Anolis sagrei: one gene and its partner. The protein of the gene in region 1 interacts with the protein of each later gene in a biochemical or structural test. Links are inferred from orthologs where the notes say so. Each region holds a gene or a part of one and is shown on either strand. Other genes may lie near its edges.

Region 1 (16,268 bases):
CTGAAATAACTTTCATTCTCATTCTCCCCTTCTAATGGAGCCGATGATGCAACCCAAAACGTTGTGAATTTCTCCTGTAAGTAAAAGCTATTACAGTCTCCTGGCACCAATACTTGCAGTCATAAAAGTGGTGCAAAATAGTTTGTAATGGCCAGAAAGGGCTTTCGTGGTGTGCTGCATTTCATAGACTACCAGTAATTTTCTTGTAGCACTAGCCTTTTTAATAAGAGGGATAGCTATCGAGTCGAATATTAAAAGGGCAGGTTGCAACAAACATCGGTTAAGACGCAGACTCAATGTTAGTTCACAGTGGTTCTTGTAGATATTATCATGTAATGCTAACACACAATTACTTATGAAAAAAGGAATCCCCTTAATGGGTGAGAGACATGAGGCATGTCAGTCTAACCTTGGGGAGGCTCAAGAAGCTGCCCATAATGTCAAATCTTGTCTTATGCATAGCTGATAATGAAGACTTAAAGAGTTTGCACTACCAAATGAGGCTGATGGATGTACAGAGACAAACACATGATAACTGCAAATTTCCTAATAATATTCCAAAAACTACGTCAGCAGCCAGCTAATGGGCAGTGTACACCATCAGGATCCTGAACTTTCTGTGGTCCAGCAACCCCTCAGCCTGGTAAGTGAATGGACTAGTCTTCCGACACATGAAATATGAATATGATCCATTCATCTGTGCTACTCCAAGGAAATTATAGTGGAAAAGAAATTATGTTTCTTGTAGCTATAGAAACTGTATCTCTATGTACTTGTCTGATGTTGAATAGCAGCAATCAGTACTGAATTGCTCTGAATTCTTGCTGGTAGCTGGCTTTCATTGCAGGCAGCTTTTTTCAGGATCTCTTCCTCAATCTATGGTTTTGAAATCACAGATTACATTTCATGATGCAAATATAGAATCAAAACTACAGTCATTTTTTTTTAGATCTGAGGCAAGTATTTGCATCTAGAACAACATCAGTTTCTATATTTATGTCTCAAAGCCCAGAAAGAAGAAACATTCTTCTGGGGTTTTTTTTGTTTGTTTGTTTAAGAAAGAGGAATAAGAAAAGGAAAAGGAAAAAGGACCATACATAGTAGCCAGGACCTTTCTTGAGATTAAATAAATCTAATAAAATACTGAGGTAGCCATAAAATTTTATTATGCTTGATGTTAATCAAATCAAGGTCTGGGGTGAGTGTGAAATTGGCAGAGTGTTACAATTTAATCTGTCCTGATCTCAGTGTTTAGATAGACAGCAAGAAGAGGCCGAAGACCTAGTGAAACTAGGCTGCCCCAAGTGCTATGAAGACTTCTGGCTAGTCTAAGGGACAGAGATACACCAACAGGAACATATTCCCAAGCCAGTTTTCTCTTGAAAGCTATATTGTTGTTGTTATTATTAATTTCATTAATATCATATTTATTTTTACCGTGCCTTTCTCCCCATGGGAACTCAAGATGGCTAACAATCCCACACTTAGTCAAGTATAAAAGGCGCAATACAAAAATAAAAAAACCCAATTAAATAGTAACTGTTAAAAACAAATTAGAATGCAATAAATACACTTCAAATGGTCTTTAAAACTCATAGCAGCTAAAATTTCTAACACCCATCCTACTTCATGGAAAATCTTGTTCTATCTCCCCAGATCAGAAAAACATGTATGTTTGTTTTTTCAAATATTTATCCTGGCCTACATTCAAGGATTCATGGTTTTTATTGTGTTACTGATGTTAATTGTAATGAATTTTTACCTGTGTCAAATGTTTTTAATGTTTAAATTATTTTTGTACTGTTGTGGGCATCGAATTGTGCCGTTTTGTAAACCGCCATGAGTCGCACTCAGGGTGAGAATGGCGGTATAGAAGCATAGTAAATAAATAAATAAATAAGGATTCAGGGCAGAAAACAATAAAATCAATTTCAGAAGATAAATAAGGATAACCATTACATAAAGGCAACAAATATATGCAATGTATCATTTCAAACTAAACTTAAAACAATTTAAAATAATCCACTACACACGTTCAAACATGATTAAATTAATTCAGCATCAAAACCTTCATTAAAAAGCCATGTTTTGACTTTATGCCTCAATGTCACCAGTATCAATACCAATGTAGTTCTTTCGATACCACAGTTGGGGTGCCATGGCAGAGAAGGCCCTTCCCTTTCTCTTCCTCTACCCCATTGGCACTACACAAAGGAGGATTGTGAAATACAGTAGTTCTCACTTCTCAGGTAAACATATAGAGACAGAGGCAAATTCTCAAGTATCAAGGTCCTAAGCCATTTAGAGATTTAAAAATATAGTCAGTCCTCTACATTTGAAGTTTTGACTTTTGAGAATTAGACTATTCACAAGTTTGATGTAAAATATTTTCTTTAGAAACTCTTAAGTCCTCCAGTGCAATCAATGCTATGTTTTGCTTTGAGTGGAAGTTGACAATAGAGTCATACTAGAAAATCTAGAGCTTCCTAAAAAGGTGTACTCTCAGGTAAATAGTATTTTAAAATATATATATTGAAATTTATATTATCAATAGACAATAAATACAATAGGAATTGTTTTGTTTGTTTGTGTTTTTTTACTTTTACAGCGGTCCTGTGCTGCTAACCCCAGTGAATGTGGGGTTAGCAGCACACTAACCCTGCATTATTTCCCTAATAAGACTGTATCTCTTATTAGGGAAAGGGATCAGTCCTTCTTGAATTAAATTACATTTTAATGGTTTATCCTCTTTTGGGAAAGTGTGCTTATACCCAGTGGTTGCGGGTGTCTTTTATGTCAGCCTGTCTTGGTTATAGCCCAAACTTTAAAGCAACCATCCTTTAGGTGCTGAATCCTAATAATGTAAAAATGTAACAGGTGCCAGTTGCTTGCATACAGAAAAAGAAGGGGTAGGAATACCCTCTCTGTTCTCACAGCTGAGATCAACTATTGTTGGGCTCTTCCCATGCAGATCTGCCTCCCGCCATTATCATTCCGCCTACTTATTATTCCCTTGGATAGCAATCTCATTTTTATTGCATTATACATTATATGTATATGACCTTGAAATCTGCCAGAATGAAGGTTATGCTGGAAGCTTCTAGTTATAAACAAGAAGACAAAACCAGTTATGCAGCCAAAGGAGAGCTACTGAGATTTCAGCCTGCTTGAAGGGACCCTGAGACCTGGGGTGGGAGTACAAACCCCAAAATTTCTGGTTGAAATCCCAAAGAGGAACTCTCCTGTGAAGATCCAAGGAGGATATATTGTGACATTTTGTTTCACATCACTGCTGCCAAACTGTAATAGAATAGGTACCCATTTAAGTTTTCTCCACCCTCACCACTCCTATATCTCATCTATAATATATCTTATATGTATCTTGTTTACATTTAATATGTGTGGTATTTTATTGTTCTTCAACAAATTTTCTGGGTATTCTGACTTTGCACCTGAAATAATTTTTTTGTGTCTGATCTATTAGAAGTGCATACAAAAGGGTGGAAAATTAGTAGCAAACATAGAAAAGGTAATGTCAGATTAAAGTACTCTGGTGAAGCTATCCAGACACCTCACTCACCTGCATCCAAGGCCCTTTCACACTGCCCCTGTATCCAGGATCTGATCCGAGTATCTGCTTATCTTGGGTTTTCTGGCAGTGGAGACTCATATAATCCAGTTTGAAGCAGATAACCCGGGATCAGATTCTGGGATATAGGGGCAGTGTGGAAGGGGCCCAATTTAGGGATTAAACTCAGGAGTCTGAGTAGAACAGTGACATCAACAGGGCAATTTCTGGCTAATAAGGGGCCCTTCTACACAGTCATATAACCCAGAATATCAAGGCAGATAATCCACAATATCAGCTTTGAACTGGGTTTTCTGAGTTTAAGATAATTAAGATAGATTAATGTAGTAGTAGTAGTAGTAGTAGTAGTAGTAAAACTGCAAAGAATCTGGCACAAGCCAGTAAAGGTTGTCCCAGTGGTGATCTGCACACTGAGTGCAGTGCCTAAAGACCTTGGCCTGCACTTAAAAACAATTGGCACTGACAAAATTGCCATTTGTCAGCTGCAAAAGGCCACCCTACCCAGATATGTGCACATTATTCGCCGATAGATCACACAGTTCTAGACACTTGGGAAGAGTCAGATGTGTGATTGAATACAAAAGTCAGCATAGTGATCTTGTTTGCTGTGTACTAATCTTGTTGTATGATAATATATTTATTTCCCACCTTTCCTGGAGGTTCAAGGCAGGGTACAACAAATTCAAAAACATGAGAACATAAAATATGTATAATAAATTACATGGATAAAAATACAAAAATATAAAAAACTTGCACCAAACAGATACAGAATTTATTTATTTATTTACCATACTTCTCTCCTGTCCCAAGGCTTCCCATCTAGGCACAATTCAATACCACATTAAAACACAAACATAAATTATAATACATTAAACAGAAAATCATTAAACATATAAATACAATTAGAACAAGATATAAAAAAGCAATTAAAACAAATAGTCCATATTCCGAGTCCATGAGCCATTCCAGTTATAGTCACATTAATTCTCAGCTGTCTATTGCATTGTAGCTAGTCTCCAAACACCTGGTTCCAAAGCCAAGATTTTATTTGTTTTCTGAATGCAAGGAGAATTGACATATAGTAGCAATAGAATGTAAATATAGTAGCCATAGTAAAGTAGCAATAGAATGTAAATCCAAACTCATGACAAGTTGACTGGGTAGGCCTGCCAGAAGAGAGGGGTCTCAGTTGCCTTTTAAATTCCAATCGGTCTAGATGTTGGAGCTCTTCTGGCAGGTCATTCCACAGTCTTAGGGCCTTATGTTTGCCAGTTCAGGTCTGGCTGGTTGGAATAGCTGTCCCCCAGAGGTCCTAACTGTCCTAAAGGTAGATTGTGCAGCAGAAGGAGATCCTATAGGTAACTCGAACCTAGTAGGTCTGGATGGGGCGGCCAATACTGACTGAAGTGTGGCTCAGTTGTTCTCAAATCTTAATGAAGCCTGCCTGATTAACCACTAAGCCTGCATGATGGAAAGGGGAATCCCAAGACTGGTGCATGAGGAAATGTGTACTACATTGGAATTTTTGTGGTTGCAACTGTCCCCACTTCTCCTTTTGTTCCAATGCTGAGAACGGAGGCAGACATATGAGCAAGTGAACAACTGAGGGAAGGAGGGACACACACTTTAAGGACCCAGTTAGTCAGCTGCAGGAAAGGATATGGAAATACAACAATGCGGTCCAATAAGCCACAAAACAAAGCAGTGTGTGTACAGAGAGAAAGCCACACTTAAAAGGAACATGATCAAACAGATTGTGGAGATGGAAACAGAATTCATAGTGTGACTAAAGTATCTCCAACTGGAGCTATGTATATCTTAAGAAAGAATGTTGAACTTAATTTCAGAACAAATCATGTTAATATTCATGCAGTTTTTTTCATCACAGTGTGACTGCTTTATTTAGAATAAGCGTATGAGTACCATAGTCAATGTAAATTAGAAGGTATGATAGAAAGGGAAAAAAACCACACAAAACTGCTGATATTATAGATGCTGTTTCTTTAAAAACCGGGTTATGGCACAGCTGGTTGAGAATCAGCTTCATTAAAATCACTACTGACCAAGGTCATGAATTCAAAGCCATCCCGGGTCGGAGTAAGCTCCTGACCATTTGTCTAGCTTGCTGTTGACCTTTGTAGCCCGAAAGACAGTTGCATCTGTCAAGTAGGAAATTTAGGTACCGCTTATGCGCGGAGGCTAATTTAACTAATTTACGATGCCATTAAACTCTCCAGCAGCCTGAAAAAGAATGAGGAAGTACTTCATCAGTGTCACAAGTGGATGGTGAAGCAACAGTTCCCCTGGTGGCCAGAATTCAAAAAGCATACCCTCATGAAGCTGGAAAGTTAAATAGCTTCTGTGTGTCTGTCTATATACGTTGTGTGTCTATGGCATTGAATGTTTGCCATGTACATGCGCATTGTGATTCGCCCTAAGTCCCCTGTAGGGTGAGAAGGACGGAATATAAATAATGCAAATAAATAAATAACATGTTCATATCAAATCAACATTTGACAATGCAATGCACACCAGTCTTCCCACCAGCAGACATGCAGCAGAAAGATACAGTAATTTGAAACAAGCCAAACAGAACATGGGGATTTTGCATTATATCCCAGCTTCAGTCACAAGAATGGGATAAATCACTAGGCATATTGGGTGAAACATCTCCTTAATCTGCCTTCTGTTATGATCTGACTCAACTACCCAAACAGATATTTATTGGGGCTACTCTGCAGGCGTGTTTATCTCTACTGTGCAATGACCTTCCTTAATTAGATACAATGGAGGACATCTTGACTACACACAAGGCAGAAATGTGCTAGCAGAGCACTCCTTGCAAAGCTCGGCAATTAAGTAAAATCTCGACAGAAGGAAAACAAGGGAGGCTGTGGTATTTGTCATCTGAAATGGGCTTCCAAATATTAAAGAGGAGTTGAAAGAAGTAATGTTTATCCACATGTTGAAGGCCAAGTGTTAACATTAAGCGTTTCTGCTTAATTTTAAACCAGACTTCTACTAGTTTCATAAAAGTCTGACTCAGTTGAGAGGAAGTTCATTTTTACTACAGCATTTAACTGACAGAGAGCATCACTGTGGAAAAATCATGACACTTCCTACCAGGGCCATAGCCAGAAAAAAATTTCAGGAGGGGTTGAAATTTTCAGGGGGGGGGGTGGGTTTGAAAATTTCACGGGGGGGGGGGGGTTGGTTGAAACCTGCCTCCTAGCTCACGCTGAAGCAAAGAGCACAGCAGGGGGCAGAGCAGCCTTCAATAGCCTGCAGCTCCGCCCCTATCAACCACCTCCACCAAGTCTGGCCTCCTTAATGAGAGCATTCAGCACACACAACCCCAACTTCAGGCCTGTAGCGAGGGGTTTTATTTAAGGGGTTCAACCCCCCCCCCCCCCGAATTTTTCAGATTTTTAAAAAAAACCCAGTTTACTCATGAATTTTAACTGGTTAACCAAATCCCCATGCTAAGTCTATGAGATGCAAAAAATTAAGAGTCCCTCCAGAACTGCAAGCACTATCTCAAGCAAATATTTATTTATTTATTTATTTATTATTCGAACTTATATGCCGCCACTCTCCTGGGGCTTGGAGCGGCTTACAAGAACAAGCTAAAATCGAACACAATTTAAAAACAATTTAAAAACAGCAATATCAGAGATCAAAGTCCCATTGAAACAGATATGTCTTACATGCCCTGCGGAAAGCTGATAAGTTCCGCAAGGCACGGACTTCAGGTGGCAGAGTATTCCAGAGAATAAATTGTCAATATTTAAGGCCTTGCATGGTCTGGGGCCGATGTACCTGAGGGACCGCCTCACTCCTACCAACCCCAGAGATCCCTCCGTTCTAAGGACCAAGATCTATTGGAAATTCCCAGTTTCAAGACCGTGCTTCTAACAGCAACCAGACGCAGAGCCTTTACAGCAGTGGCACCATCACTCTGGAATACTCTGCCACCTGAACTCCGTGCCTTGCGGGACTTATCAGCTTTCCGCAGGGCATGTAAGACATTTCTGTTTCAACGGGACTTTGATCTCTGATATTGTTATTTTTAAATTGTTTTAAATTGTTTTTAAATTGTGTTCGATTTTAGCCTGTTCTTGCAAGCCGCTCCGAGCCCCAGGGGAGTGGCGGCATACAAGTTCGAATAATAAATAAATAAATAAATATTTGCTTGAGATAGTGCTTGCAGTTCTGGAGGGACTCAATTTTTTGCATCTCATAGACTTAGCATGGGGATTTGGTTAACCAGTTAAAATTCATGAGTAAATTGGGTTTTTTTTTAAAAAAATCTGAAACATTTCGGGGGGGGGTTGAACCCCTAACCCCCCCCCCCTCGCTACAGGCCTGCTTCCTACAGGTGTCTGAAGAGAGCTGCTGGTTAGAGCTGCTATGAACTACAGTCCTTTTGGAGGACCACCCTTTGCTCACCCCGCTCTTCACACTATTCATGATTCATGTCTCATTGTCATCCATATATCAATCTTTAATTTACCCAAACAAAGTAAGTCTAAGTGTACCTCTGTCCTTGAATATATACTGTAATTCCTTTATCCAGAAACAACTATTATTTATTTATTTATTTATTTACTACATTTATATACCGTCCCTCTCAACCCGCAGGCGACTTGGGGCAGTTTACAGTCAGTACCAAGACCATAAAATACAATTACAATACAATTAAAAACATTAAGATAATATAGAACCATAGCATAATCAATAAAAACATATATCATTAGAGTTTCCTTGTTAAAACATTCAAGTACTGAAAACAGTCCCTGCTTCTTAAGCCCCTTCTACACTACCATATAAAATCTAGTTTATCTGCTTTGAACTGGATTATATGGCAGGTTAGACTCATATAATCCAGTTCAAAGCAGGTAATGTGGATTATCTGCTTTGAAAATCTGGATTATATTGCAGTGTAGAAAGGGACTTCGATTTCTGTACCAGAGAGTATTAATGTTGTCATTCAAGGGCAGGCATTGAATAATTATACACGCACAAGTATCAGTTTCAAAATTCCACATAGGATGGAGTTATGGCCACTAGAATAGTATCAGGCTGTTGTATCTGTGCAGTTTGAATGTAATCCAATCAACAATTTGGAAGCTAAATGAACACTGAACCTAATGCTGTGTGCATTTGTGAAGACATTACATAAGATTCTTCCCAGAAAGAGCCGCAAGGTGCTGACTGAGGGAAATGCTAATTGGCTGCTTGACATTGTTAATCTAAATTCAAAGACATAGTCTGGAATATCATTATGTAAAGGGCTTTTGGAGCACCTTGGAGTCTAACTGAAAGAAGGAAGTTGGTACCATAAGCTTTCGTAGACAAAAGCTTATGTTACCCACTTCTTCATCTCAGTCTCGAGGGTGCTCCAAGACTTAGATCTATTCACTTCTTTTTCCCATGTATAAATATTAAAATTAATATGACGCCCCTACTTCGTGGATTTTCATTTATCTCGGGTGGTCCTGGAACAGAACCCCATGATAAGTGAGGGAACACTGTATTCCAGAGCCCTTCAACACAGCCATACAACCCAGAAGATCAAGGCAGAAAATCTCACAATATCTGCTTTGATCTGGGTTTTCTGACGGCCCTTCCACACAGCCCTATATCCAGGAATATCAAGGCAGAAAACCCCACAGTATCTGCTTTGAACTGAGTTATCTGAGTCCACACTCTGATAATGTGGGATTTCCTGCCTTGATATTCTGAGATCTAGGGCTGTGTGGAAGGGCCCTGAGTCCACACTTCCATACAATCCAGTTCAAAGCAGATAATGTGGGATTTTATACAACTGTATGGAAGGGGCCTCCAAGTCTTCTGGAGGGGGCAAAGGTGGCGCGTTTCCACGGGAGGGAAGATGCTGCTTTCTCTTGGGCCGCAGGTCAGGCAGTGGAACCTCCATGCCTGGCTTTGTCTTTCGGGGCGTGCGTCCGCGGGTGTGCCCCGGGGGGGGGGTGCCTTGTTGGGCCGCCCAGGAGCCACGAGGCCTCCCCTCTCCCTCCCTGCCTCCCTCCCTGCCGGCCTTTCCTCCTCTTCCCGGGGCGCGCGCCTGCCTGCCTGCCTGCCGGCCCGCCCTGTGCGCGGGAGCCCTCTCCCACCCCACCTGATGACGCGCCGTGATGCAAAACAGGAAACGGGATCTTGGGAGAGGCGGAAATTGCAGCAGCCCCAGCAGGAGCAGGAAAGCTCGGAAGCGCCCGGCGCCGGAGGAGAAAGAGGCGGAGAAGGAGGCGCCGCCGCCGCCGCTGCTGTCCCTGCCGCCGGCAAGAAAGTGAGTGGCAGGAGCCCCGCGAGGGAGAGGAGGCGAGGGGGTGCTGCTGGGGGCTTCCCCCAAAACAGGCGGGCGAGGGTCTCCCCCTTGCTTGGGGTCCCTCCTCAGGGGTCTCCGGCTGGCCTCTGCAGGTGGGGTCAAGGCAGTGGAGGAGGAGGAGGAGGAGAGGCGTCCAGGGCGCCGCACCTGGAGCCAGGCACCAGGTCGGGAGTGGGCGTTGATGCGTGGCACATGGCAGCCGTGGGGCTGGAGTGGGCTCGCCGGCTTTGGGAGGCTCTTTGTTCTCTCCTGGAGGCTCCAAGGGGCGTGTGTGCCTCTGGGAAGGAGCCAGCCGCCGGAGGAGCGCTGCCTCGCCAACCCTCCCTTTCCCTTCCTTCCCACTTCCCCCCTCTCCACTCCTCTTCTCCTTTCCTCTCCTTTCCTCTCCACGCCTTCCTTTTCCACGCCTCGCCTTCCTCTCCTCATCTGGCAGTGCAACTATACTGTAGAACAGTGGGATCTCAACCTGTGGGTCCTCAGGTGTTTTGGCCTACAACTCCCAGAAATCCCAGCTAGTTTACCAGCTGTTAGGATTTCTGGGAATTGAAGGCCAAAACATCTAGGGACCCACAGGTTGAGAACCACTGGTGTAGAATGAATGCAGCTTCTCTCCAATTCAACTGCCATGGCTCCATGCTATGGAATCATGGGAGGTGAAGTCTGGTCAGGCATCAACACCCTTTGATTGGTTGGTGACACTCAAGACTAGGCATGGGCAAACTTTGGCCCTCCAGGTGTTTTGGACTTCAGCTCCCACAATTCGGAATTGTGGGAGTTAAAGTCTAGAGCACCCGGAGGGCCGAAGTTTGCCCATGCCTGCTCAAGACCTACCACTCTCATGATTGCATAGCAGGGAGCCATGGCAGTTGAAATGGTGTCAACCTGCATTCATTCTATGGAGGCAGCCTGGGACTCTTATCCAGGAGGGAAGTGGTGGCTTGGCTCTTGACCCCCTGTGAAAGGAGATGGCATCATGGGAGGTGTTCCCTTCTTTCACCTGGCATCCCAGTGAACAGTTTAGAACAGTGGTTTCCATTTTTTTTTTGGACCAGGGACCACTCTCCAACATTAGTGCCAAAAGGGTTATTAATCAGGTTTTGGTCAACTTTAGATTCAGTTTGGTTATTTGAGGTGCTGATTCAGAAAATTGCATTGGATAGACCACATCAGCTCTAGATTCTGATACAGAACATATACCATCCAGTACTCATCATCTGCTCACCCACAGAAAACCATATTTAATAAGCCTCAGTACTATAAGAGAGTTATATGAGACCTGTCACTCTTGTTGCAACAGTGTAGCAATGGTGAGGCTGTGGACCATATTTTAGTTCTTGCGTACCACTGGTGGTCCATGGACCACAGGTTGGAAACCATTGGTTTAGGAGAAAAGGGAAACTTTACAGAGCTGAAGATTCCAGGCCAAAGAAGCAGGGCTTATTTCTGACAGGGACTTCAAAAAGTTAAGGGGGCATCTAGGATGACCCAGGTGCAGGAGAGTGGCGTTTTGTGTGTGTGTTCAGGAACAGTGGCCTGGTTTTAGCCAAAAGGGGTTTCCTAGCTACAGCATTCCCAAAGTTCTGAACAAGATACAGTTCTGTAGATTTGTTCTTAAGCTGAATTTGTTTGTAAGCCAAAATAGGTCCATTTTTGAAGTGTAACTCCAGCCAAAAATATAAATCTTTTTGCTTTGGATGGGATAGGGAAGGGTTTACACCCTTGTGGTATTTGTTGTGCTGTCTGTGCCCCTTTTCAGAAGATTTCACCTCACATTCTGTCCCTATGATCATTGGATTTTTAAAATTGGCTTGTGGAAAAAAGGATTGGTGATAAAACTTCAGTGGACACACCTTTCCCCCATGATAATTCTTCCAGGAGTGAATTTCCCTTCCTAGGGGTAGATTTCTTTTTCTGCCTATTGTCTCACCCCCGTTCTTAACTATGAGCTGTTTATAAGGTGGATGTTTGTAACTTGGGGACTGCCTGTACCTAGAAAAAAAGAGCTGGATAGCACCTTGATCTCTGAAGACCTACTCTGTAGGTGTTGGGCACTTCCACTTTGACTGGGAGTACATCTACATTGCAACAGCACCAGAAGCAGAAACAGGAAAGCTCGGAAGCACCTGGGGCCAGAGGAGAAGGAGGAGGCACAGAAAGAAGTGCCACTGTTGCTCTGCTGCTGCTGTGTTGTACATTGTACAATTCATGCAATTGGACACCACTTTAACTGCCATGTTTGATTGGTATGAAATTGCTGGAGTTATGGTTTTACAGTGCTTTCTCTTCCAAAGAGTGCTGGTGCCTCACCAAACTACAAATCCTATGATGGAGCTCCTGGCATCGCAATGGGTTAAACCCTTGTGCCAGCAGAACTGAAGACCAACAGGTCGGAGGTTTGAATCTGAGGAGAGCACAGATGAGCTCCCTCTGTCAGCTCCATATCCCCATGCAGGGACATGAGAGAAGCCTCCCACAAGGATGTAAAACATCAAAACATCCGGGCATCCCCTGGGCAGCGTCCTTGCAGATGGCCAATTCTCTCACACCAGAAGTGACTTGCAGTTTCTCAAGTCACTCCTGACATGAAAAAAAAAAACTATTATTCCATAACATCGAGGCATTCCAGTTAAAATGATGCCAAACTGCATTAATTGTGCAGTGTAGATACACCTTGGGATACTGTTAGCACACATATAAATAGTTTCTGGGTGTGATCAGGTATAATGTGGGACAAAGGTGTGATAAGACATTTTACTGTGCATCTTGCCGCTCTGAGTCCCCCTTCTGGGGTGAGATACCGTGGGGTAGAAATAGAATAAATAAATAAAACGTTTATGGACACTTCTTGACAGCACTTCCGTGTACATGTTTGCCACCAGATTACAGCATATAGTACAGTGAAGTCCAGTTGTGGAAACATCCATGATCTTGGACAGGCAACATAATTTAGTGCTACTGAATGTGGATATTGGTGATGTGATGTGTTCACCTTTGAAGAACTCCCTGAAATGCCATGTTGCTTCCATGAAGTTTGGTGCAAGGGTTACATGTATCACATCTCTCCCTCATAATGTGAGAACCTGTTCTTGGAAAAGAGTCAGGAGAGCTAGGTTTTTGAACTGGAAGTAGAAGCTCTTGTCTGGAAATGAATCATACTGCTGAGCTATTTTGTTTCCTCTGATTCAGTAAGTGGCACATAATATCACTCATGAGTTGTTGCTGGAGGCAGAGTTTTGATTTCTTCAGGCAGAAATATGCCTGGCTCTGGAATACCTTCCATATTTGAATGTGTAAATAAAATATAAAATATTGTTGTTTATTATTATCAAGTTGACTAAGTTAAGGCAGCCTTGTGATTTACAGGACTCCAAGACAACCAGACTTGCTCAGGTCTTGCAAACACATTCAACTCAGAATTTGCAATACAATATAAAGTATAAGTAGGGGTGAGAAAAATATGGGCTTCCTGATGTTGTTGGGTAGCATCCCACACTCTCTTATATGGCAGCTGCAAGAGTGTAGCCACATTTGGAAAACTACTCTGGCACCCCGACATGAGAAATGAAATGGTTCAAAATGAAGATGTTTATTGAAGGAAATAATTTCAGGTGTGGTCATTGGTGTCCTTTCTCATTATTTAGCTGTTTAGCACAGACATCTATGGAGACAATGCTTTCTTTTCTGTCCTACTCCATGACTATTTAGGATTTCCTTCTTCCTCCTAACTCTGTACATTCATTCATAATTGTTTAGATGCAACATCATCCATTCACCTTGTTTTCCAGTCTTCCTTACAGGGGTTCTGCTTGAGTGTTCCTGGACAAACAAAGGTCTTATATATTTTGTAATTATATAAATAGATAAAATCAACAGACAGTTTCAGGCAAGCATACTGCATTCTTCCCCTTGACCAAATTGTGGTTTAGTGATCAGGGATGTTTTGTAATTCTCCGTGCTGTTGTACTGGCATTCCTCTGTGAATTTCCCCTCAATTTTGGAGATTAGTGTTAAGTCTGCATTTCCATTTTTTGCTAGGAGTTTTGGTTCCAAACCGCAGTTCAAAAGCATGATCAAAAGGAAATTTGCAAAATGCATTTTGGGCCAGCTATGCTTCACAAAAATGTTGCTGCTAGCACAATGTTGACCAAAGACTTGCTCTCTTTATAAAAAAGTGTTGGGGGAAAATATTCATGCAAGGGGAAAGGGGGAGGAGCACATGGTTTAATAATTTGTCAGTGCTAAAGCTCTGAACTGAGGTTATTTGCCAGGGAAGTTTATACAGTCAGTTATTGTAGTTTGACTGAAATGAGCACCCTATTTATCCCTTTACCAATTTAATTGTAGCTGACTAGGCTTCTTGATGCTTTCCTGTTGATAGGAGAACCTTCTGTCCTTCAGTTTCTGGAATCAGAAAGTGCATTCATGGCTTAAAGTAGTGGTGAGACTCATGTGGTCCTACGGATATTGTTAAACCCCAGCATGGCTAGGGCTGGCGAAATTTTCAGTCTGACAACACCTGCATATCCACATCATTCCCACCCCATCGTTAGACATCTTCTTTAGGCCAGGTATGGCAAAATGGTTAGATGTAGAATAATTCATTTTCCCACTGTGTTGTCGAGGACACTGGATGAAAATTTGAGCCAGCCTTCTTTCTGTTTTTCTCAGCCTAATTTAACTTGCAAAATGCTTGTAAGATAAACATAGGGAGAAGGATCATGCACACAACCTTGAGTCCACTGGAAGAAAAGCCAGTTTATTTCTAGATATGGGATTACTAATAGGTTGTTAAAGTACTTGTGGAGGGGGTATTATACCCACCAGACCCTTAAGATCCCTAAGGAAAGGCTTTTTTATCCCATCACTGTCATGGGCCTGTTTGATGAGGACACAGGAGAAGGTCATTTCAGTGACTAGTCCGAAGCTGTGGCATTCCCTACCATGGGAGCCTAAACTGGCTCCATCTTTGCCACTTATTGTTGGCAGGCAAATACATTTTTATTCGCACAGGTATTTAATGATTAAGTAGCTGCAGGTAATCTTTATAGGCATGTGCTGCATTATTAACTTTATGTTTCTTCTTTTAAACAATTTTACACTTCTAATGAAGTTTTAACATGATATTTTGTTTCATTGTGGTCCCCCCCCCCCACCCAGTTTTTTTGTTTGTATCTTATTCAAGCCCTGTTGCAGCCTCCCATGAGTCCCATGGGTGGTGAAAGACAGGTTATAAAATGGATTAAACAAAAGTTTGATCCAATTTTTTGCTTGCTTAATAGGGGAAGGGGATTTCTGGACAAATGCAGCAGATTTCTCTCTTGCAGTATGGACTTTGATTAGACAAGGGTGAGCCATTGTAGTGAGCCTGGGTGTTAGTTTTCAGGTAGGATCCTCTGGCAGCACAGACTGCCAAAAAATATCAAAGAAAGAAAACAGATCAAAACAAGAAGGAACTAGATATCCATTTCTGGTTTTGAAAAGAAAGGGGCGTTAATATTTAACAGTGCAGTGTTTTCAAAAAGGTAGATCCTGTCTGATCTTGAAAGCTAAACAGGACTAATTAGTGCTTGGGTGAGGGGCCATCAAGGATTACCAAGCATTGCAGGCTATATTTCAGAGGGAGGAACTGGCAAAACCACCTCTGTGCACTCCTTGCCTAAGAAATGTTACGAAATTCATGGGGTTGCCATAAGTCCAGAGGTGACTTGAAAGCACAATTTTAAGACTTGCAGTTTTTTAAAAAAGATGAATCACCACTCCTGGAGACTTTGAAGAGAGACAGTTCACCCTCGGGGAACAGAGACAGAAAAAGGTTGGCCCAGGGAATCTGGAGAGGCCGAGAGCTGCAAGAACAGTGGTTGCATGCAGGCCCAGGGCAGATGTTGGCTACCCCACCCTTAGCATCCATTATGCATCTAAACGAAACTGTCTGTGAAAGAGTTTCTGTGAAATAATCTAAAGTGTTGTGCAGTATAGATTCTGCACAACACTTTTCTTTCTTTGTTGTAGGCTAGATGCATTTTTAAATTAGAAAAAAACCACAATTTTTGGTTTGGTTTGCTGCTGCATAAGTAGGATGAAATATCCAGAGCCTTGGGTTGTCAGAGTTCCCACTCCCTGACTCTGTGGCTTTTCCTCCCCTCTCCCGAATTTTCTGTGTGAGTCAATGAGTCACATGAATCAAAATGGATAACATTTCTCTCCAGCCTAGTTTGAAAAAAATGAGCCAGAAAAGTAAACTACATAGGAAATGATTAAAACTACTGGGCTGCTAACACTGTCCATTGGAAAACTAGGAATATTTTAACTGGAATGGAAAATCTGGTAAAGTGT
Region 2 (16,033 bases), about 52 Mb from region 1:
AAGTTTCGTTGGGGGATTTTTGAGTTTTGTTGTTTTGCCGTTTTGTGAGTGTGTTGTTGTGTTGTTTTTCATTTTGAGTAGATATGTTTGTACCTTGTGGGTTGTGTTATGGGCACAGGGATTTTGGTTAAGTTTCGTTGGGGGATTTTTGAGTTTTGTTGTTTTGCCGTTTTGTGAGTGTGTTGTTGTGTTGTTTTTCATTTTGAGTAGATATGTTTGTACCTTGTGGGTTGTGTTATGGGCATGGGAATTTTGGTTAAGTTTCGTTGGGGGGTTTTTGAGTTTTGTTTCCTCGTTGGATGCCCCTAACAAATTTATATATATAGATTAGATTGATTTTATTGCCCACATACTTTAAGTGCAAGGCATTTCTGTTTAGTTTATTCTCTCTCCCTCCCTCCCTCCTTCTCTCCCTCTCTCTCCCTCTTTGGTAGTACAAAGGAAATATTAGTTGTAGCTCCCTTGGCAAATAAAGCTGTTCAGTAAAAGTGTGAGCAAGGTCTCATTGCACCAGGAGAGCAAGGGCTGGGCACTAGACAACACCTATTTTGCACCACTGTTCTTAATTAAACAAGCATTTCATCTCTAAGGTGTTACAAGAACCCTTTGCAAACTGATATTCCAGAATAATATGGCTATGCCTTTTCTAAAAAATCTGTCGCTGTTTCTTCTATGGTATCTCTAATAATTACTTACAGGATACTACACAAAATGTTGCATCTATTTATGGTACACACTCTGTTTTCCTTCCTAAATGCATGTGTGTGTCTCGGGGGGGGGGGGATTTCTTTTGCTCAAAGTTATTTCCATATATCACAGGTTGTATCCTATGTGTCTCATAAATGTGAGGTAGGTACACACAGTACCTCATTGGGAAATTATTGCCAGAATCCAAGCAAACGTGAAGCCAGTTCCATAAGAACTTGTGCACTTCTGACTCACTAATCTCAGTGAAATTCCCACTGAGATAATAATTTTCAGTTATTATCTGATGAACAAGTATCCTTTCCTTTAAAGTGTGAGTACTAATAGAAATCTATTTAAAGTAAAGTTACTGGCATAGATTAAATCTTAAAATTTCCTCGACAGAATTAATATTGAAAGTTAAAAATATAGTGGGCACAAAAATGTATGATATTGCCAGGCTGATTCTATGATCAAAGATGTATTACCAGAACTTCCATTAATGGAATGTAGCTGTAATCCTATACATGTCTAGCTATGGAAAAATGAAAGGAAAATTATTGGAAGGAGTGTGGTGGGGAAATAGACGCAAAATATTGCATACCCTTCAACATTTAATAGATAAAAACCAGGATACAAATAACAAAAAGAGAGTGGGGGGGGGGGGGGAGAATCATAGAATCATAGAATCAAAAAGTTGGAAGAGACCTCATGCGCCATCCAGTCCAACCCCCTGCCAAGAAGCAGGAATATTGCATTCAAATCACCCCCGACAGATGGCCATCCAGCCTCTGTTTAAAAGCTTCCAAAGAAGGAGCCTCCACCACACTCCGGGGCAGAGAGTTCCACTGCTGAACGGCTCTCACAGTCAGGAAGTTCTTCCTCATGTTCAGATGGAATCTCCTTTCTTGTAGAGAGAGAGAGAGATCAAGATGGAAAACATTATTTGTAAGGAAGAACAGACAAGCTAGGAGAGACTGCATCAGTTTGGTTGTCTGAGTTTACAGCTACATTGTAGAATAAATTGATTGATTGATTGATTTAAAACATTTATATTCCGCCCTTCTCATCCCGCAGGGCACTCAGGGCAGAGCACAACATATATACGGCAAACATTCAATGCCGGAACATAAACTATAAATATACACAAACATTAAAATAACTTATATCAACTTTAAAATTGACTGTTTTAAACCATCTCAGGACACCATTCTATTATTGTCTCATTTTACTGCCCCAAAGCCTTGGTCCCACAGCCAGGTAGAACTGCACTTTAACTGCCATGACTCAGTGCTATGGAGTCCTGTGGTGTTGAAGGAAAGTTCTGAGAGTGCCTTGGACCACAAGAAGATCCAACCAGTCCATACTTCAGGAAATAAAGCCCGACTGCTTATTGGAGGGTAGGACAGTAGAGGCAAAGATGAAGTACTTTGGCCACATCATGAGAAGACAGGAAAGCTTAAAGAAGACAATTATGCTGGGGAAAATGGAAGAAAAAAGGAAGAGGGGCCGACCAAGGGCAAGATGGATGGATGGCAGCTGGAGGTAGTGACTGCCGACAGGGAGCTCTCGCGTGGGCTGGTCCAGTAGGTCACAAAGAGTTGGAAACGAATGAACGAATGAACAACACCAAATGCACCCTGAGTGCATATATACTGAGTGGAGAGTATGTCATCTTAAGACAGTGCAGTCCAGAAATAGGTTTACAATCTCAGTGAAAAAAGAAGTGGGACTCTCACTTTAAGAGGCAAGTTTCAGTTGTTTTCATGCTTCAGGATGTGCTAACTCAATTTTGAAAAAAAAGCTTTCATTTTTGGCAGGTGGGACCAAAATGGTTAGAGGAGCAGCAGCTTGTAGTACCAGACAAGGGTGACTTGTACATTGAAGTTCTGTTCCTTAAAATCTGATGTGGCTCTGCAGTCCAGTAATGTTTAAGTAAATACCTGTTAGTTGAAAGCATCTTTGTATTTTGCTGTTTCTTCTATTGAGAACAGGAAACAACATATCAACACTAGCAGATTGCCCAAGTATCTCTGCAGACGTTGCTCAAGTATCACATCCATTGCTGCACATAAATCAACAGGAAGGAGATTCACTTGCTACATAAAAGAAAATGGGAGAAGGTCTCAACACCTCCATGGGGCAACACTGGTGTACCCACCATCCATGATTCTAGCTATTCTAAGAATCTCTTATGTTCATACACATGTGTTTATTTATGCACAGGGAGATATGAATACGTGACTCCTTTTAATTGTCATTGAATAAATAGTCAGTGGGTACAGTGGAAGTGCAGGTGACATATGGAAAACTGTTTCAATTTATATTGTAAGCCATTTTGAGTCTCGTTTAGGCAAAAAGCAGAATCCTTGTCATCATGGGCCATCATTCATGGCCAAGTATGATTATCTTCCAGAAGCAGGGTCTTAGCGATGGATTCATAAATGACTGTGAAGGCCTATTCTGGATCCACTAGACATACATTTCCAGATAGAAGGTGGTCACAAGGGTTTGGTTGCCATGCCTTCCTCTTGGCACATTTCTTCTTTTCACCCTTTATCCATGCCTCTTCAAAATCTATAACACCTTTGGTAACAGCTGACCTTGAGTTGCCAGGGCTTTCCAGTTTTTGTGTTCATGCCACATTTTTGTAGGTTTTTAGCCCATCTTTAAATCTCTTTTGTTGTCCTCTGACATTCCATTTTCTGTTCTTTAGCTGAAAGTAAAGTAACTGCTTTGGGAGGAGGAGACCGGGCATTCAGCGGTGGCCAGTCCAACAAAATGGATGGTGAGAATCACTGCTTCAATACTGGTGGTCTTTGCTTCTCCCAGCACACTAATGTTTGTCCGCCTGTCTTCCCAAGAGATTTGCAGGATTTTTATTTATTTATTTATTTATTTATTTGCTTTATTTCTATACCGCATTTTTCAGCCCAAACAGGCGACTCAATGTGGTTTTTGTTTTTCTGAGGCAACACTGATGGACTCTTTCCAGAAGTCAAGAGTGACATTTGTAAATGCTCTGTGTTTTGTAGCCACACAACAGAGTTGGATGGAGAATAGCTTCATAAACAAGCATCTTGGTATCTCCACAAATGTCCCGATACGCAAACATTCTCTGCTTCATTCGAAAAAACACAGCACTCACAGAGATTAGACAATGTTGTATTTTGATGACTTTTGTGGAGAGGTGGCTGCAAATGGAAGCAGAAATGGTCAACATTTTCTAACATTACACCATTAAGCTGTGTTAGTTTGTGCCTGCTGGTAGAGTTCTTTGATTTTTCCTATGTTAACTGAAAGGCCAAGCTTTTCATAGATTCTGAAAATATGTTTAAAGTGGCTTCTAAATCTTCCTTTGAATGAGCACATTATCATCAGCATATTGGAGTTCTATAACAGAAGTTGTTGTTATCTTACTTTTGGCTTTCAGCCTGCTGAGGTTAAACAGCTTGCCAATATGTGATTTCCACACCAGTGGGAAGTTTCCCATAGAAGCCAAATGAATAATTAAATGGATTGTGCAGCCTCACACCATTAGTCCTAAAGACATTGAACACGCAGCAGTAATACAACTTTTTCCAAGGCATTACCATGCCCATAATAGTGAAGCATACTGGTGGAAAGGGCTCCAAGGCCCAGTGGGCAAAAGTATAGTAATGATAAATGCAGCCATGCTTTCCAGATGTTTTATGGAAACCAAGCCATTACAATATAACCCTGTTATCAGTGTATTTAATGTTCATGGCTTCACTTATCCATGTTCCAAAAATTATCCCCTTGCCCTGCTTCTGGGAAGTGTTTCCTCGTATGAGGACCTGGTTATTTTGGTTTATTGTAATTTGTCATGTTAACATTGTGTTAGTAAATGGTGGTGGGAGCCAGTAGAAAATTTGGTTGTGTTAGGACCTAGCAACAGATATTATAGATAGTCTCTGGTCTGTTGAGATCCCAACATTTTGTAACATATTGCTTATTTTTTTTCCACTCACCAGATACCTTTGAAGGCAACAATAAGGTTGATGTGGCCCTCAATAAAAATTGAGTTTGACACCCCTATTCTATGGTCTCCTGTGGATACCAAATTTTGTGGATGCTCATGTTCCATTATATGCAATGGTTAGATTTATATCCTACCTTTATCTCAGACATGCAATTTAGGGCAGAAGCGCCTTTCCAATAAGTGAATATCGTGCTTCCAATTCAGACATATACATTTCACTATACTGTTAGCTGAGAAGACCGTGAAAATATATGATCTGTGTATTTTTACAAACATGTTCATCTCCCATAATTATCAGGACCCACAATTAAAGATGAAGTGAAGAACGGAGAAATATAATTTCATACACTGTAGATTATTTTCTGTCAATAACAGCACCCATTCTCACTAATATCAGATGAACATCTCCCCTCATCTGGGCTTCAAGGAGCACTTACACTAATGCAGTTTATGGAAAACATCCAAAAGATTTCCTTTATGGCTCAACCATTTTCAATTATTTAGAGGCCAGAGATTAGGAAAATATACCTATATTGCATTTTGTGAAGAGGCATATAAGCATAGGAAGCAGTTTGAACATTTCCTTTGTTGTCAGATTTTAGCAGCAAGCCTATGTTAAATTGAAACTACAAAATATTATTGGATGTAAATTCTTTATCTCGAGTGAGAATAAGCAGCAATCCATGTTTGTGGATTTCAACTCTTATAGCTTAAAAATAGGTAAGCTACATGTGGTTTGCAGGCCACATGTGGTTCCAGATTCCCAAATAATCACTAGTCTACAAAGGGCATTTCCCCAATACTTAGATAACATGCTGGAACCACCAGGGGTCAAAACAAAACCTATGAATTTCACAGGATTTTCCTAGGCAAGAAACTCAGACAAAGTACCTCCTCAGAAACATAGCCTACAGTACCTGGTCTCCCATCTAAGTATGATCCAAGACTAATCCTGCTTAGCCTCCAAGACCAAGGGGGATCTGGTGACTTTAGCTGTTTCTTAGTGTTGATTGCCATTAAGTCAACTTTGTTATGGCAACCTTATAGATGACAGGCCTCTAAGGACCTTATTAGAAGTTGTCCTCTATTTCTACACACTTCAAAGATGGGATTCCACGGATCCCATTAAATGACACAGGACACTTCCATGGGTCTTCATCTCCGTAGAAACGGGTGGATTTTAAAGACAAGATAGTCGACACCACTCGTCTCCGTCTGTTTAGAAATGGGTATTTTTCTATGGGAAATTGTCCATTTATCAATTTTCAGTCCATATTCTGATATTTCAGGGTGGGTGCTCATGTGAGGGGTCTTTTCATGCTCCTTGTTGCTCCTTCTGCTGCCATTAGTCTTTGGACTTCTATTCTCCTTTTAAAAATATTTTGTTGTTGATACTGTGACTGTGCAATTGAAGCATGGACCTTTGAAATTCTGTAATTGCACTTTTGAGTATGGAGAATTGGTACCAAGTTTGGTCCAAATCCATCACTGTTTGAGTCTACACTGTACGGATGACAGAATGGGAGGAGACAACACTCGCCCATGTGATGAGAAATGAAGCACAGGGTTAAACAGAAAAGGAAGGAGTGATGGGAGTAAGCAAATTCTCTTGTTTTATTTCAAAGGAAGGAAGACGATTCCTCCTGCTTTTCCCCCTTTGTGGGATGAGGTACGAAGTCAGTGGTTCTCAACCTTCCTAGTTCCACAACCTCTTAACACAGTTCCTCATGTTGTGGTCACGCTGAACCATAAAATTATTTTTGTTGCTACTTCACAACTGTAATTTTGCTACTGTTATGAATAGTAATGTAAATATCTTATATGCAGGATGTATTTTCATTCACTGGACCAAATTTGGTACAAATACTTAATACTGGTGGGGTTGGGGGGGTTTGGTTTTGTCATTTGGGAGTTGTAGTTGCTGGGATTTATAGTTGACCTGCAACCAAAGAGCTTCTGAACTCCATCAACAATGGAACTGCACCAAACTTGGCACACAGAACTCCCATAACCAAAAGAAAATACTGGAAGGATTTGTCGGCTTTGACCTTGAGTTTTGGAGTTGTAGTTCACCTACATCCAGAGAGCACTGTGGACTCAAACAATGATGGATCTGGACCAAACTTGGCACCAATACTCAATATGCTCAAATGTGAACACTGGTGGAGTTTGGGGAAAATAGACCTTGACATTTTGGAGTCATAGTTATTGGGATTTATAGTTCATCTACAATCAAAGAGCATTCTGAACCCCACCAACAATAGAATTGGGCCAAACTTCCCACAGAACCCCCATGACAAACAGAAAATACTGTTTTCTGGTGGTCTTTGGCGACCCCTCTGACATTCCTCTCACTAACCCTCTCCAGACCCTCAGATTGAGAAACACTGTTCTAAGTCATCAATAAGCCAGGCCTTCAAGACTCGGGGGGCAATTGATTCCTTGATTGAGTCCATCCATGTGGAATGTGGTCTTCCTTTCTTCTTGTTGCCTTCCATCTTCCCATTGTTTTTTAGTGAGTCATGTCTTTCTATGATATGGCTGAAGTATGACTGTCTCAGTGTAGTCATCTTGTCCTCTAGGGAGAGCTCAAGCTTGATGTGCTCTAAGAACCATTTATACTGGTATTTTTTAAAGCAGTCTACAGTACAATTCTCCAATGTCACATTTCAAAAGAGTTGGTTCTCATCTGATTTATAATAATAATAATAATAATAATAATAACTTTATTTTTCTACCCCACCTCCATCTCCCCGAAGGGACTCGGGGCGGCTTACATGGGGCCATGCCCAGACAACATACAGTTAAAAACAGAACGCCCATATATAAAACAGCATAAAACATCATCATCATAAACAATAAAAGCAGGCATCATAAGCAACAATATAAGTACCCTTTCTTTCCTGTTCCGTTTTTACAACCATTTCTATATAAGAAATTGGAACTATCATGGCACGGACAATCATGCCTCTGGTATCCAATGGTGCACCTTAATACTTAAGGATCTTGTTTAGTTCCTTCACAGCTGCCCTTCCAATCCCTAGGGTGCACCTACACTGTAGAAATAATGCGGTTTGAGCTGCATTGGCTCTAATGCTATGGAATCCCGGGAGTGGTAGCTTTACAAGGCCTTGAGCCTCCTCTGCCAAAGGTGCCTCACCAAACTACAATCCCAGAATCCCACAACATTTAGCCATAGAAGTTAAGAGTGGTGCCAAACAGCATTCATTCTATGTGCTGCTTAAGGTTTTCATGGCTGGCATCATTAGGTTGCTGTGAGTTTTCCGGGATTGTATGGCCGTGTTCCAGAAGCACCCTCTCCTGATGTTTCACCCTCATCTATTACAGGCATCCTAATTGGTTGTGAGGTCTGTGGGAAATTAGGTGTGGGGTTTATATATCTATGGAATGTCCAGGGTGGGAGAAAGAACTCTTGTCTGTTGGAGGTAGATGTGAATGTTGCAACTGGCCATCTTGATTGAAACTGAATGGCTTTGCAGCTTCAAAGCCTGGCTGCTTCCTGCCCAGGGGGAATCCTTTGTTGGGAGGTGCTAGCTGGCCCTGATTGTTTCCGGTCTGGAATTACCGCTTTTTGAATCTTACCCTGATTTTAGAGGGTTTTTAGCCAGATTTTCTTGATTTTCATGGTTTCCTACCTTCTGTTGATATTGCCCACATACCTGCCATAGACGTGGACGAAATGTCAGGAATGCTTCCCGAACATGGCCATACAGCCTGGAAAACTCACAGCAACCCAGCATTCATTCTGCAGTGTAGACGCACACTGTGGCAAATACCATAGGTAATGGCACCCACACTCTTTGGCAGAGAAGGCTGAATATCTTGTAAAACTGCAAATCCTAGCAACAGGATGACCTAACACTGAGCCATGGCAGTTAAAGTGGTGTTAAACTGCATTCATTCCTGGTTTCTGAGGGCCCTTCCACACAGCCCTATACCCCAGAATATCGAGAATCCCAGAATATCTGAATTGAATTGGGTTGTCTGAGTCCACACTCAGATAATGTGGAATCTTCTGCCTTGATTTGAATTGGTTTCTGAGTTCATATTCAGATAATATGGGATTTTCTGCCTTGATATTCTGGGATACAGGGCTGTGTGGAAGGGCCCTCAGAAGGGGGAATGGGAATTTAGGTCCTTTCCACACAGCCCTATATCCCAGAATATCAAGGCAGAAAATCCCACATTATCTGAAAGTGGATTCATAGAACCCAGTTCAAAGCAGATATTGTGGGATTCCCTGCCTTGATATTCTGGGCTATAGGGCTGAGTTGAAAGGCCCAAAGTGATTTCTGTTGGGCGAGTTCACCTTTCTGCTTCAAGCTGGGCTATGAAACCCAGGCAGGCGAGAAGCGGAAGTAGTGGGCAGGAGGAGGAGGGGCGGGGAGAGCGAAAGAAGAGAAGCCTGGCCGAGGGCCCGCCCGCGCCACTTCTCCTCAGCCGCACGCTTCCCGAATCGCGAGCGCGTCACTGCATGCTTCGGTTTGACGCGCCCGCCCGCCCCCTCCTCCTCCTTCCCCCCCCCTTTCTCCGCGGCTCCTCCCCCCTCCTCCGACTCTCTCGGCCGGGAGGGACGGAAGAGGCGGCCATTTTGGGCTCGCGCTCGTGTGTGAGTGTGAGCGAGGGGGGAGCGAGGCCGAGGCTGGGAGTGACTGACTGGCTCCTTTGCGGAAGTGGGTGGCTTCGCTCCCCCCGCCCCCCTCCTCCCTCTCCTCCTCCGGTCCTCTGAGTGCAAGGAAGGAAGGCAGGAAGGAAGGCAAGAAGGAGGCGAGCCAGTCCCGCGGGCGCCTCGGCCGCACCTTCTTTTCCCTCCGCGCCACCGTCGCCGCCGCCGCCGCTCGACCCGGGAAGGAGGATGGCAGGGCGGCTCCCGGCCTGCGTGGTGGACTGTGGCACCGGGTGAGCCCAGGGCCAGGGGGAGGGAGCCAGGCGGGCAGAGAGGGATGAATGGGCCGGAGGAGGCCAGCCCCTGCCTGGGAGCTGGCTGGCTGGCTGACTGGCTGCTGACAGGTCGCCGAGACGGGAAAGGGAAGGCTGCCATTGCGGTTCCCTTTGGGGGCGGCCCCACTCTCTCTGTGAATATAAAATAATATATAATGTATGCGTGTGTGTGATGTATATAGATGTGTGTGTGCATTGTATGGTGTATGCATGTGTGTGTATGTGGGGGGGGGGGAACTGCTTGCTTCAACCCACCCCTTTCCCAAATCAAATAAAAGGTCTCTCTCTGTGTATATAATATAATACATAATATGTGTGTGATGTATATAGATGTGTGTGTGTATTGTATGGTGTATGCATGTGTGTGAGTATGTGTGTGTGTGTGTGTGTGGGGCGGGGGGTGAGGGGGTGGAACTGCCTGCTTCAACCCACCCCTTCCCAAATCAAAGAAAAGGTCCCTTTTTAAGTACATCTAAACCTCAGTTCATTGACATTCCACTTTCTCGTCCCTTCTCCATTGCACACCCATCAAGTTGTGTGTATGTGTGTGCACACACACACATAATACAACATTTATATGTCGCCCTTCTTCTCACCCTGAAGGGGACTCAGAGCGGCTTACAAGTTACATATATACACAATATATTGTATTATTAGCATAGCACAATATTAGTATTATATATAACTACATTGTGCTATACCACTCTACTGTAATATTATTAGGTTGGATATATTTGTGTGGGTGTGTGTGATGGGGCAACTGTTTGCTTTACCCCCATTTGAAAATGAAATAAAAGGTGGCTATTCCTTCCTCCTTTCCCCGAGGCATAGCCAATCCCCCCCCCCTTTGGCTCTCTTTCCCCCCCACTGCTCCCTCTGTTCTGTTGCAAACCCTCCAAGTTGTGTGTGGGTCCAACAGCCTGCCTGTTTTACCCACCCCTGAAAAAAGTACAGGGTTTATTTTCTCTCTCAGATTATTCAAAGCTTCTCCTCACCTCATTGACATCCCTCCCCCCCCCCTTCATTGCTAACCCTACAAGTTGTGAGGTGAGTGTGTTTTATATACGCATACATATACATACATACATACATACATACATGAAGAGGGGTGTCAGTGAGGTGAGAAAAAGCTTTGAACCATCTGAGGGGGGAAAGGGAACCCTGTATTTCATTTTCAGAGGTGTGTAAAGTAAGCAGGCAGTTGGATATATATGGATTTTGCTTTTGGAGAAAGGGGACCTGTCTCCTCCATGGCTGTCGTTTTGACGGTTTGCTCAGCCTGTTCTTGTCTTGAAGGCATCCACCTTCAGGAAGGTGGCTTTGTGGGAGGAGAAGGGAGTCACGCCCTAAAACAGCAGGGCTCCTTCCAGGTTTAAATATGTGGGATTGGCCTTTTGCTCATTCCTCAGAGGCGGTGGCCTCTCTCATGCACTTCTTTATTTCTTTCCTTTCTGGAAGTGGGCTTGCATTGTCTCCCCATTATAAAGTCACGGAAGATGCCATCGCTACTGTTTCTGTTCATTGTTCATTTAAAGGCTGACTGGACGTTTTCCATTAGGAGGATGTCCTCTGGAAACTGGGTGTTTGCACCCTAATATTATCATTGCATACCATAATTTTTCTACTCGTTTCAGTGGCCTAGAAATTTCACCCTTTAGTTCTTTGAAGAAGCAGAGCTTCCCCATTTCTTTCATAATGAAAACGTGCACTTTCATGCAGCTTAGCCACAGAGTCAAGCTCAGACAGTTTAAATATTTTATGCTTTCCAAATCAAAGCCGGCTAACAAATAATTTTGAAAGGATTTCACCCTCTTGTCTGTAATCTGCAGATAGATCTAGTGGAGCGGTAGCTTTATTAAGCAATGTCATGTTTTTTCCATATGTGTCATTTCTTCAGCATTACTTCTCTGTGTGTGGGTGAAAAAAAAAGTCCACCCGCTCTAGTGAGCAAGCGCAAACCAACTTCCTTAGTTTTGTCAAAGGCTCTTCCTCCTTTCAGGCTTCTATACCTTATAAGGCAGTTTTCAGTGTCAAACCTGAACCAAATCCTTTTTTTAAATTTTACAATTGACAGCTGCAAGGAAAAATAGCAATGCTCAATATTTAATATCTGCTTATAGAATGGAGCTTTCCAGCAGACAGTGAACTAAGCCATTGGGGACTTCCTGAAATGAGCGTTTTGTATCTTTCTTTTTGGTGCCTTAAGAAACTGGGCGTAAGGAAATTTCTTTTTGTGAAGACCTTTGCTCAGTGCATATGCAGATGACTTTGAAAATAACTCAGCAGCATTTTGATATGTAGATTGTATTTGCAGCATCTAGCAATGAAATAATAACATAACAGGTCTGCTTTTACAGCCCATATAATTGGTGGCACAGTGAGTTAAATTGCTGAGCTGCTGAACTTACTGACTGAAAGGTCAGTGGTTCGAATCCAGGGAGCAGGGTGAGCTCCCGCTGCTAGCCCCAGCTTCTGCCAACCTAGCAGTTCGAAAACATGCAAATGTGTGTAGATCAATAGGAACCGCTTCAGCTTATTTTTCAATCTGGAAAAAGCATGTGTAGGTGAGAAAAAGAGTAGGAAAAAACATCACAGGATTAAAGTACAGCTAGTCTCTGACTATTTAAAATTAAAGCTATAATGAAAATCTTAATATATAAATTCTTTTGATTTTCTACTGTTATACATTTCTGGAAGCTGTGTTGTTTTGGTGAACTTATGGTGATTCAGTATCACACAATACTTAATAAGTCACGTTTTCTCCTTCGAAAACCTTTTTTAATGAAGTTTTGACTATGCACATCTATATGAGGCTTCTTTACATCTCTGAGAACTCAGTGTGAATTATAATGTTAAAATGATCTGTGGGTCAAAGAGGTAGGGATAATCATAAGTGAATAAGGGATTTAATTCCTGATTCTGCAAAAAATTCCTGAATTGCTTCTTGACAATTGAAGGCAGGATTTTTAAAATATTAGATAAAATTGCACAGACAACTTTAATAGTTCTTTCAAATAACAAACTAAATTTGTGAATTCCTATGAAAATTGAAAGATGGGAGGTCTCAATGCTATTATCCTGGAATTACATTCTCAGTACTGAAGCTGCTTATTTTATGTTTAGCATGTAGAGGAGACACATAGAGAATAGGGGGACCCATTTTAAGTGCCCTCAGTCCTTCATGGGAGTTGCATACCACAGTTTTCTGAAACTGGAAATGATTTTCCAGTAACATCCAGTAACCTTTTTGTTTTGCTTGTTTTGGGCTGGATTTTGGAATAGAGGAAGCTGAAGCAGTTATTAACACTTAACATTGAACCCAATGAAGAGGTTTTTTGGCAGTAGTTCTCAATTTGTGGGTCCCCAGATGTTATGGCCTTCAACTCCCAGAAATAGTAACAGCTGGTAAACTGGCTGGGATTTCTGGGAGATGTAGGCCAAAACAGCAGGGGACTCACAAGTTGAGAACCACTGTTTAGGGCATTGCTGTAAGTGTTAATGGGCACATGCTGCCTAGATACTTGCTTACTTACCTGAGTCCTATACCTGTTTTAGAATATTGATTTGTATTCATCGGGTTCTTATGTATAGTTTCAATTTCCAATGATGTATTGTACTCCTCTGACTTGAATTGTTCTGATGCCATTCTACCCTACACCTTTCTCTGTCTCTTCTGTTGATGCGGATTGGCTTTAATGTAAAGATATGGTTGTTTAAATGAATAAGTTGATTGGAAACTACTATGTATTTCCTTCTCATTCTCATAGCCCACAAATGTTGTGTTTACCTGTAAAGATTTATTTTCTGATTACTTCAGTTCCTGTTATAGATGACTTATGAGGTACTCTTCATGCAACAATGTGCTTATACTAAGAGCTGAACATTTAAAAGTGAAAAGGGGAAATGCAGGTCTCCAGTTAGACATGGAGCTGCAGTGCCTGGTTCATGTCCCTGAGATTCTCCTGAATGTTCCTTTCCCTGCAGCAAAACTGGAGTGTTAAACGATCCTGCTTAATTAAAAGTTAATTGAGTTTTGAAAGCTAAGTGTGTATGGAGGTTCTTACAGAACTGAGATCTTAAAAATGCAGTATAATGAAAATTTAGAATGATGGTAGATTGATTTATAGGTTCGAACATGTATCAGAATGGTTCATTTCAGACATGGACCAAATTTTGATTTGTACTCACAGTGGATTGATCTTTCAGGTGCATTGGGTTACACTATCTGCAACTAAGATTAGCTTATTTGAACACCATGCCAAACTGTAGTACAGAACTTGATTTCTAATTCTGGTATAGTGCAAAAGATGGCTTGTCAGTTCAGTCATGATGACACAGTAAAGTTAAATGTAATGTTTAATGTATGACATCGTAACTTGGGTGAGACTAGATGACCTTTTTTTTAAAAAAAGAAGTATTCCACAAACTGTGATAAAATCTGTTTTTCATAGCATGTGATTTTTAAATAGTTATCTTACATAAACTATGAAACTTGTTTTATGGTTGGTGGTACAACATGCATAAATTGTGAACCTGAGGATACATACATACAGACATGCGTGTGTGTAAGGTAATATTCTGTTCACATTATATTCAATTACCTTGCACATTAGGATTATGAACTTCTTAGGCAGTGTCCTATTTAAGCCATTGATTCCAAGCATCCATTTTTTGTAATTACAGTTCATTTAAAAAATATTTGCATTTCTATAAATATGAAATACTCTTCAATCATAAACTGTTCTGAGGACATGTGGTAGTTACTGTGTATTGGAGCCTATGCCATTATTTTGCAGATCATTTTTAAAGTCAATTTATTTATTTAATTGATACCCAGCCTTTCTTCTAACTAGGGTTCATGAGTGGAACAAATTAAAGCAAAGTGCTTTGAAAGCGATTTTCCTGCTTCTTGGCAGGGGGTCGGACAGGGTGGCTCTCGAGGTCTCTTCCAACTCAATGATTCTATGATTCTAAGGTAGAATTAAAAATAAGACAATATACAGATTAAGCAAATGTTGCAGCCCCATGTAGAGTGCTATACTGTAGTGGCCCAAGTGGAAGATATTCAAGTGGTGAGTGTGCTGTACCCATATCTAACATCCAGGAACAACAAGTGATACATTAGCCCCAACAGTGCAGATGCATTCATGGCTATTATGAAAACTTGAACATTCAGGTTTAGGGTTAAAATCAAAATTACAATCAAGCAACAAACCTGTAATTTCAGTGGGAATGCAATCCCATTTAGCACAGATTGAATCCTTATTCCCTGGTTTGCTTTTTGACAAACCAGGAACACTTTTGCCTTAACATGGTTAGGTTTCAGTTTGCTCACCTATGTACAGTCCATTACTCAGAATAGAAACTGTCCTAGTAATGAAACTACTTCCTTGAAATTGCATGTAAAGAAAATATAGAATCTTGGGCATCAGGTTGTTTTCTTTTGTAAGAAATTAGCATAGTCTTCTATATATGTAAACTGTTAATTATGATAACATAGCATGGCAGTGTACTCATTCACACAATTTTCTAATCATGTTACTCACATACATGGAACTGGAAACACGCCATCTTTACTACATAGGAGACAAGAAGGCTCCTCTCAGGTTGTGGAAGTACCTTTAAAGGGAAGCTAGGCATCTCTGTGTACGAACCCACACGATCTCTTTGTTCATCTGGAGAGGCCCTGCTGACGATCCCACCGGCATCGCAAGCGCAATTGGTGGAGACGAGGAATAGGGCCTTCTCGGTGGTGGCCCCTCGACTCTGGAACTCTCTCCCTAAAGTCATCAGGATCAGGCAGGCCCCGTCGCTAGCAATCTTTAGGAGGAGCTTGAAAACGTGGTTGTTCCAGTGCGCCTTTCCAGAATAAGGAAACTCCTAGCATTATGTCCCAACGCACTTTATCAGAGATCCAGGATATCTGCATGCCCATCCCCCTCCAAACACCCCACCTTGTCATGCCCAGCACTTGGCCCGGCCATTGTTTTTAATTGCGTCATTGGGTGTTGTTAATGTTATTGCTATTCTTTGCTATTGTTTTGTTTTTTGAGTTATTGTGTTGTTGTTGCTGCTGCTATTTTTATTGTTGTATTTGGGCTCGGCCTCTTGTAAGCCGCACCTAGTCCTTCAGGAGATGGTAGTGGGGTACAAATAAAGGTTTATTATTATTATTATTATTACCCACTCCATGCTGTCTTTGGATGACAGGCTAAGCCCTATTTATTTCAGCAAGTTTTTAGCAACTGACTGCAGAAAAAGACTTTTAAAGGGAGGTGCTGAACTTAACTCATTTAAAAATAATTGTATATTCATTTGACTATTAATTTAATTAGCCTAATTACTATTTAATATCATAACTTACTTTATTTTTATTTTTACCTT

The links.
Region 2: the proteins of CTTN (region 1) and ACTR3 form a complex in vitro, tested with the Homo sapiens proteins (3 studies listed by BioGRID). The link is inferred for Anolis sagrei from reciprocal best matches to the Homo sapiens genes CTTN and ACTR3.

What each region holds. Positions count from the first base shown.
Region 1 is NC_090021.1:267,290,668-267,306,935, forward strand, and holds the start of CTTN (src substrate cortactin), read left to right. Parts: upstream 1-9,742; 5' UTR 9,743-9,896; intron 9,897-16,268.
Region 2 is NC_090021.1:215,782,147-215,798,179, forward strand, and holds the start of ACTR3 (actin-related protein 3), read left to right. Parts: upstream 1-9,257; 5' UTR 9,258-9,563; coding exon 9,564-9,607; intron 9,608-16,033. UniProt on the Homo sapiens protein: ATP-binding component of the Arp2/3 complex, a multiprotein complex that mediates actin polymerization upon stimulation by nucleation-promoting factor (NPF).